Linked DNA regions of Schizosaccharomyces pombe. The protein of the gene in region 1 interacts with the protein of each later gene in a biochemical or structural test. Each region holds a gene or a part of one and is shown in the gene's direction. Other genes may lie near its edges.

Evidence for each region.
Region 2: the proteins of csi1 (region 1) and alp7 form a complex in vitro, tested with the Schizosaccharomyces pombe proteins (one study listed by BioGRID).

The regions. Positions count from the first base shown.
Region 1 is NC_003423.3:3,459,725-3,464,688, forward strand, and holds csi1 (protein Csi1), read left to right. Parts: upstream 1-1,613; 5' UTR 1,614-1,715; coding exon 1,716-3,317; 3' UTR 3,318-3,490; coding exon of another isoform or gene 3,491-3,697; 3' UTR 3,698-3,737; coding exon of another isoform or gene 3,738-3,786; 3' UTR 3,787-3,832; coding exon of another isoform or gene 3,833-4,068; 3' UTR 4,069-4,109; downstream 4,110-4,964. Other genes in the region: dcd1 (deoxycytidylate deaminase), read right to left, coding at 191-510; 2' O-ribose methyltransferase Mrm2, read right to left, coding at 3,491-3,697, 3,738-3,786, 3,833-4,068, 4,110-4,160, 4,210-4,323.
Region 2 is NC_003424.3:5,001,797-5,006,223, reverse strand, and holds alp7 (kinetochore-associated protein Alp7), read left to right. Parts: upstream 1-1,738; 5' UTR 1,739-2,028; coding exon 2,029-3,453; 3' UTR 3,454-3,824; downstream 3,825-4,427. Other genes in the region: serine/threonine protein kinase Ppk16, read right to left, coding at 1-1,103, 1,272-1,321, 1,389-1,482, 1,530-1,553; tbc13 (GTPase-activating protein), read left to right, coding at 4,248-4,427. UniProt on the Schizosaccharomyces pombe protein: Required for bipolar spindle formation and proper chromosome segregation. Has an indirect role in connecting the kinetochores and the plus end of pole to chromosome microtubules by targeting alp14 to the spindle pole body.

The DNA.
Region 1 (4,964 bases):
ATATGTCATCATTATTATTTCACGCAATATTCAGTTAATCATGAGGAGCTTATGTAACCGTGTAATTTCGAGCATGAAATGAATGAAACTAACAAGATATTAAGGTCCTTACACTGAACACATTGCGTGAAGAATAATGACAATGAATTTAAAGTTAGCAACAACATGTTGACATTGCAATATTACATACGTTTTGTAGCGATTGAACCTGAGCATAATTGGGGCATCAATATATACAAGCAAAAAGAACGGACGTTTGAGCAATGCACTTAACAAACGTGGACTATGAATTCCATTAATTACAAATCTTTCGCGCCATCTTGGAGTGAGATAGCTAATAAGATCGTCAACGCTGCCAAGGACTAAATCGCCAGTTCTATATATATATTCTCCATCCTCGTTTAGTTGTGGTAATCGAAAAATAGCATTGAAACCATGCTTTGTCTCAAGGTATTCAACAACGGCATCTTTTCCACTACATAATGGCCCTGTAAGACCAACAGTTGGCATATTTATTTGCTTAATAAATCAAACAAAGCTACTTAAGCTTAAGAAACGTATTTCAGTTTGATTATCTCCCCAAATAGTTAGAGATAGATCGGTTTTAACGTACTCACATACCTAATGATACTAACTATCAATACCAACAACGAGTTGCGAAAATGCTAACTTTCAATTTCGTAAAACTATGCTTCTATAATCTGTAATCTTTTTAAAAAATAAAATATATATTTAATGAGATTAAAAACTATTTGCTTCCAAATCTTCACGAATCCTTGAATATTTCAGATTTTACGTTTCACTGTACTGGACCAAGAATCTAAAAAATCCTTTTAGTGAATTCGAATAAAGTCGTTTTTGGTTTTAAGTGTATTGACCTCTCTTTTGCTGGTCACGCTAAAGTTTAGAGCACTCAAAAGTTGTACTTAAGTGCTGTGTACTTCAACAGCAACAACAATAAGATCATTAACTGTATATTGTTAAGGAGAAACTCGGAACAAACGCATTCAACTAACAATGAAACCATTTTTATCTAATTAATGTTCATCACATCAAATTTGATAATGAGCGCATTTCATGTAAACTCATGTGAAACGATGGAATCTGTCGAATAATATTTTTTATGTGCGAATATTCAGAATTCTTCTAAAAGTCCAGTAATTACATACTAATCGTTCGTAAAATTATGTTTACGGTTAGATTACTATTGCATCGTAGGCCTAGCATTAATTGTCAAGTCAGCAATTCAACAATGATATTTATATGTGGCACATATTCTTTTTCTCAACATCCTATTTAATGATATTGGAAAATTTTTTTGTTTTCGGGAAATTAAAACACTACAGAACTCAACTGGACTGAGGAAGAGGTTGAGTTATGAGCAGCTTCAGTAGTAAGTTAGAAGGTTAACTTCACGTACCAACTTAATTAATAATCGAGCTCACAGCAACATAAGTGATGATTGTTGGTGATTTAACGTATCATTAAAGCTAATTACAGACTACATAATAAGCATTAAGCCATTAACGTGTACTAGGTAATACTCACGACCGTACTGTAGAGCTCGGTAAGATCGTAATTTTGTCAAGTTTCCTGAGGTTTAATAACCCTTTGGTTGCAAATTATTGTTAATCACGATCTTGTAACTCCTATAATTATTGAAGTCAGTTTGCAAAGAATTTAGAATTTAAATCACCAAATAATTTGGGCATGAGATGAGTTTCAATCCTGCAGCTGGACTGCTGGGAAAATTAAAGAAATTATGGAATGATACAAAAAACGATTATTTGGAATGGGAGCGAAGCCAACAAGGTCAAATTAGTGAGTCAGTGGTTAAGAATCACTCACCCTCAAAGCGAAAGCGACGGCCATCGAAGGAGCCTTCCCTATCACCTAAGCGAAGAAAAAATATTTTAAATGATCAAAAAAAAGATGAAGAGTCAATACCTAATGCTGGTACACAATCACAAAATTTTACTCACTTAAGTGCATCTAAAATTCGTATCTCAGATGAGGATCGAATTAAGCCATTGGTAGATTTAAATCAAGATCACTCTTTTGACATGGCATACTTAACACCTGCAAGCGCTCCCCCTCCGCGATTTCGATTTGTACCTCCAAAATCTGACGCGAAATCTCATTCGGCTCCTAGATCGCTAGAAGGTGTTACTAGCTTATCTGATTCTCATTTCAATTCCCTTGAAGCAAACTTAAAAGCGATTTCGAAAGATAGCAACAATAAAGCGCACAATAATCGTTATGATGAGTCTTCGCTTACGAACCCTGAATTTTCCATCCTTGTTGAGCGTTTAAAAAGTATTGAAGAAAATTTACAAAGCCTGCAGGAAAGGATTTCTCATTGTGAGCGTTCAGTTAGTCTTAGCCCATCTTTTGCTCCACCATCTAACGTTAAAAGTCCAGTCCAACAGCACCGGTCTTTTGTTTCAAGTTCAGCAAGAGCAAAAAAGAATTGGGGGAGACAGTCGAATAGTCCGAATAGTAATAAAAAAACCGATCATGCATACCCAGGAGCTTCAATGAACACTGAAAGGGGTTTAATTCAAAACTTAGAAGATTCAGATGATATCCATGAAGAAAGTTCGGATACCTTGGAAGAACCTCTGTTAATTAACGAACTAAACCGGACTTCCTTTCTCAACTCCAATAATAATTTAAAATTGAATGAAGCTGAAGAAAATCAAAATTTATTGAATCTTCGAAGTCCCAAATCATCTGGAAAGGCTGATAATTTGACTATAAAAAGCTCATCTAATATTGATAAAGTTACTTCAAATGATCTCTATCTTGATAATAATTTGCAAAGTCATTTTAAAGTGACAGAGAGTCAACCGACTAATCTAGGGAGGAAAGAATATTCAAATTCGCCTTTTTCTATCAGAGCTAGAAAAGATGCAGCAACTACTAGTTCCTCATTTGAAAGTTATCACAATACACAAACGATACAATCACCTATGAAATTTACAAAAGCGACGCCTTTGAAAGACAATGAGTCAGCTAGTGTCGATGAAAGTAAAGTAAATGTGTTGTCGGAGAACCAGTCTTTACAGGCCGATACCGCTACGTTGGAACAACTTACACCAATTCCAAAGGCAAGGTGGAACCAACTTGCAAATAAACACCCTTCCCTTTCTAATTCAGCTGCATCACCCCCTGTTTCGTCTCCTGGGCTCAGGCGCTCCCATATCCCAGTTCATGAAGGACTGAAGCATACAAGAGATGGCGTTGCTGAAACGAAGGATGCGCTTGCAAAATTAAGGGAAAAAATGCAGGAGCGACTAAAAAACCATACTTCTTGAGGAGGCACTTTAGTGCTTAACCTAAAACCTATCGCAGGCGATTGTTCTTTAGTTTACGCTTCATCTGACAACTTTTATAATACGGAATTAATGCAACAGTATCTTTAGACTCCTTTTGGTATATTAAATATTTTCAATTAATGTTCTCCTTTCACAACGAAAATTGACACATTTTAGGGCTTGCGTTCCAAGCAAACAAAATACGCTTCCCGTGACTCTTTTAAAGAGGCTTTCGGTTTCATCACTTGGACGAACCTAAAGTGAGATTTCAACAAATTTTGTAAGTCGGCATCTTCATCCCCCATGTAAAATTTACAAATAAACGAGCCATTTGATTTTAAAAAGGTTAATGCAACATGAAGCGCAGATGCACAGAGTTCCTATAGTAGGTCAGAGAAAATTTACAAGAAATGTATTTACCATGGAGAGAGCATGATCCCGGATCCGAATCCCTGTAGCCTTATGAAGCCTAGGATGTTAGATGTAAATATATTTTAGACCCTGTATTTAATTACATATCACTTATAACAGCGTCGACCACCCGACAATCAATGCTATCATTCGTATTAGGCTCATGTAGTAGCCGTAAAGCCTCGAATAGTTTAGTCAGGGTGTTTGGATCACGAATATCACCGTAGATGGGTAATACCCCTTCTGGTGGAGCTATGTGCTGAATATCAATGCCTATTACTTTCCCTTTATTTCCAACTAACTTTTTTGCTACTTGCGACCATGATCCAGGTGCAAATCCCTTAAAAACGTTAGGCTTATGATAATTAGATAATTTAATACCACGTCAATCACCACATCTTCTTTATTAATAAATCTGTATTTGGAATTCAACTATCAATTAGTATTATTATCCAAAATCGTATCGACGTGGTAACAGTACCTCTATTAATTTGTATGCTGCTCTCGACCGGAAATTGTCGATTTTACTTTTTTTTCGATAGAAATCTTTTGAACGCTTAGCTGCCCAAGAAAAAAGAGTTTTGGAGCCAAACATCTCCTAAACCCAAAGTGTTTGTGAATACTAGATCAAATTTTTACCAAAATATGAATTGAAGTATGACAGAATTTATTAAGTTAAAAAAATAGTGGTTTTATTTATTCTTTCATCAAACGTGTCTAAAAAGGACTAATCGCTTTTTTTATTCTAGTAGATGGTTTAATTTCTAAAACGTAAAAATATTACTTTAATAAACCAGATGAAGAAAATAACTCTAATCAAAGTACAGCCGTCTCAATCTATTTCACAGTTGCTTCTTTACGAGCATTGAATGGATTAAGTACTGTATTTTACGCTATATGACGCTACGTTACCTGTCACTATTTGCCATAAAAATACTAGCAAATTCGTTTATTGATAATTGTAAAAGACTATCCGTATTATTCACACAGATACCTAGAGATATCGGGTTAAAAATTTTGCAAGCTATATTAATGATTGGCTATAAACTTCGTAAACTAATATTAATAGGACTGCTATTCATATTGCATACCGCGATTTTATAAATTACCAGTAAACACACCGCAATTTATGATTGTAAAATAGATACCAAACTGCATAGTAAGCAACTTAAGTAATACACAATAAATCTATAAAATTCACTATTTATGATTAAAAATATACATAAATTACCGCTA
Region 2 (4,427 bases), on another chromosome or scaffold:
CTAATTGCTGATGAGCTTAACGTATCAGCAGTATGCTTTTGTTTAGGATCGAATAACCAACTACGAAATGTAGAAAGCAAAGAATTACTTGAATCTGACGATGTATGCCGACTTTTTAAAGAATCCTGATTGTTGGACATAACAGAAACTTGAGCGGTTTTTAATGATGGAGTTGCTGGAGCTATGTGTACAGCCGAAGATGAACCTTTATGTAAATGAAACAAACCTTTCTTTTTTTTGTTTTCCTTACGCATTTCTTTTTCTAGTAATAAAAGCCACCATCCATAGAACATGTCACAGCGCTGTTGTGAGATGCTGGCATTAAGTTGATCCATGTCAACACCAACAAATTCAAGCCTTTTACGAACTTTTTCCTCTGCTTTCGAGGAAGGCCTTGGGTCTCGAATAGAAGATGAATGATATCCATTTTCCTTGAAATAGGGGTGAGAGATGATTTGATCGATAGAGGGTCGAAGTCGGTAATCCTTGCAAAGGAGGGATTTCAACAAGCTTGAAGAGTTTTTGGAGAGTGTTTCAGGATATTGAGGACATTCATTGATAATTTTTTGCTCAGTTAAAGATACATCGTCCTCGTCGAACGGGAGCCTTCCTATTAAGAGAGCGTACATAATTATACCCAGAGACCATATATCAACGCATTCACCAATATATTTATGGCCCTGTACTAGCTCCGGAGCACAATAAGCAACTGTACCACAACGTGTGTTCATAAATGTTCTACGGGAACAATCAGAATCTCTAGAAAACCCAAAGTCTCCAAGCTTAACATTGTAGGCTTTATCTAGAAAAATATTTTCGAGTTTAAGGTCACGGTGAACACAGCCTTGTCTATGTAAATACTGAATAGCACAGCATAGCTGCCACATGATACGGCAAGTGGTCTTTTCATCCAGCCTTTTTTCTCTCGCTACCCAGTCATACAATTCACCATTTGGACAATACTCCATGGCAAGATAAATTCGGTCTTCGGTGCATACTACTTCATAAAGCCTCGTGATGTTTGGATGAAGAAGACGCCGATGATGATGAATTTCTCGAGCAAGGATAATCGCTTGTTTCCTGCAAGATGATTTCAGGACAACCTTTAATAAAAATGTTAGCAAGGTACAATCAATTTATTGATGAATAAAACGTTTATCATTCTCATAATGTAATCAACCGACTTTGGAACGGTCAATATTCGCAATTTACGAGCCGTTTATTCTTCTTTTTATAACTTAGAGACATAGTAATCTTTGAATAACCCATACCTTTGTATTTGTCAGTAAATGAGCTGCCAAATAAACTTTTCCAAAGCTGCCTACAACCCATGCTTGTTAGATAGCCGTCCAGTATTGAGCGTTCACAATAACACAAAAGTATCGTACCTTCACCGACAACACTCTCAATGCGATATGTACCGACATCAGAGATACGAGGATTGCAAATTGTTGCAATTAGGTCATTGTATGAGGCCGATATCTGCCATTCATTAGATAATCACGATTTCCCTCTTTTCATATACATACGTTTGCCTTTTCATTTTTCTTCATACTAAAATTTGGCACACATAATATCAAAGGTTGACTTGCAAATTGTTTAGTGTTTACAGTAGGATACTTTGGTGTTATTACAAAGGCTTCGGAGAACAAGCTACCGAAAATTCACCGAGAGCTCGGTGAACTCTTCCCACTCTCTCCTTACTCAGTGTAAACCAGTATGTATGTGCCTTTTATTTACACCACCATTGTACGCCTAGTGTTGAATCAAGACGAAGAATTGAGGGCAATAAGGGGTTATTTATTGGGCATTGTATGACTCAAGTTTGTTATTGAACCATTGTTCTACGTAGGCGGACATCTGACCAGTTTTCAAAAAGTAAAAATAAAAGTTAGCTACTGATCGTTAACTTTGAAACGATAATACCAGCTGTAAAATATTTGAAAAAGGATTTTCTTGTGTATTTATATTTCATATATCTGTTAGTTCTTTATATCGTTTGACGATTTTAAAAAGTCATAACCGAAAATGAGTGATATCGTTTCGAGCTCTACAGATTACAGTAGGAGGTCTCCCTCCTCATCTAGTATTGGGACAAATGAAACTGATCATACGGGTTTTCATGAAAAAAGGCAAGGTGCCTCTTCAGAATCATTGATTCCTCCAGCTCAACGAAGTTCAGAGGAATCCATGCCTGCCCCTAAATTATTCCCTAAGTTAACTTCTAAACCCAATCCACAGCTGAATTTAAAGGATACTCTTAATAAGCGAGTAAGCGATCGACTACAAGCCTTAGAGTTGAATAAATCTTTTGATTTTTCAGGAACCCCTAGACCGATGCATCCCATATCCCATCCTTTGTCACAGCATAAAACGCCAGAATTTAAGCATAGAAAAAGAAATGTAGAATCTATTTTGACGCCGAAGAATCCTTCTTTATTTTCATCGTCCAATGCGGCCTCCCAACGAGGCTCTTTAAATACCGCTCCATCTAATTTTGCATACAGTCATTCATCATCTTTGCAAACATCAGCTAGTTCTAGGCCCCCAGTGCTTTCAAACGGAAGCTTCCCACGTCAAACTAATACGGCGCCGTTGAACCCACCAGTGCATTTGAAAGACAACATTCGCAACTCTGCTACACCATCAACTTCACAGGCCGATATACCTACTCAATACCCAATTAATTCCACTCAAAAGCAGCAAGCGAAATACGAAGCTGAAATAGAGGGCTACAAAGCCAAACTTGCTGGCACTTATCATGAAATTTCCGTACTCCAAAATACAATCGTCAATGTTTCGGGACAATTGATTGCCGTTAATGACCAACTTCAGCAACTTAGATCTGGAAAAGCATCGACTAGTCCCTCCACAAAGGATACCAACATGAGACTTGTTGAAGGGCATAATGAAGAGACATTAGCTCTTCAGAGAGGTAAATATACTCAAGAGGAAGTTGACAAGTTAATTCAAGAACGCATGGAAAAAGTTGCTGAAGATTTACATGCTCAGTACTCAGCCAAGCACACTCAGAAAATTAATGCTTTCAAAGCCAATTATGCTCGAAAATACGAGGCAACTATACAGGAGCTTCAAAATCAAATCGGTACTGCTCCTAATGCTCCAAAAATATCCAACAGTAACTGGGAGGAAGAAAGGCGAGCATTGAAAGCAGACAATCAGACTCTCCAAAAACAGCTGGAGAAAGCCATTCAAGAGCGCCAAGATATGTCAGATTTTTTGAACAATTTTAAAGCTGATATGGCGAAGAGTGATAAGTTACTAATGCAACAACAATCACAACAGACAGGTGATTTGGAAACACTTCGTTTACAACTGCAAGCGCTTCAAGAAGAGCTCCGGGTCGAAAGGGAGGAACGACAACAGTTGATACAAATGAGCGAGGACTTGGTAATTGCAATGGATCAACTGAATTTGGAGCAAAAATCATGATCTGCGCTTTCATTTTTGATAAAAACAATCTCCATAATTTTTTTTTTTTTTTTGATAGAGTATTGCTAATGTATTGATGCCGTTTCCTTTATCCAAACCACTTCTGTATTCTCATGATTAATTTAGTTTCATATTGATGACCCCAGTTTCATGAATACAACCCGAATTCTTTTGATTTCCATTAATTAAGCCTTCTTTTATGGTTATACATTATCTACCAATTTTCGTATATTTATACATCATAACAGTTCGATATACAACCTAATATAAATTGCATATCCACTCTTTCTTCTTTTATTTGTATTATAGATAGAATCAAAACTGGAGCCAATCTCAAGGCTAATTTCTCACATACATACATTAGAAAACGGTGCATTTATTTAATAAATATCCAATTATTATTAATTGCTCGTTCTAGGTGCTGTTTAAACCAAATATTTCTTTCCTGGTCTGTATGTTGCACCTACATCAATCTTACCTATACTGTACATCTACTAAGGACGTTCATTACTCTGTACTTTCCTACAGTATTTGATTAGGGAAGTATTGTTAAGAAGGAAATTAGTATAAAAAATAAGTCAGAAAATTTAGTCGGTTCTTAAACTTGCATTCAATTTTAGTAGCTAACTTAGTTCCATCATCCACGTGTGAAACAGGCTACTGAACACACCAATTGCGCTCTCCTTTTCTTCATATATTTAATTTTCAACAGTAATATTTTATATATGATAATATAACTAAATTGGATATAGTCAAACTACATAATATCTTATTTGAATCGCTTCTAGTTTATTATGGACTATAAGCAACGCATTGAAAAATTTAAAGACATTTTAAATTCGGAAGAGCCAATTTCTCTCCCTGGTTTATGCTCGCTTTGTATTCAAGGAATTCCTGATGAATATTCACTTAGGGCAAAAGCTTGGATGTTGATGCTTGAGTTCCTTCCTACCGATAGATCAAACTGGCAATCA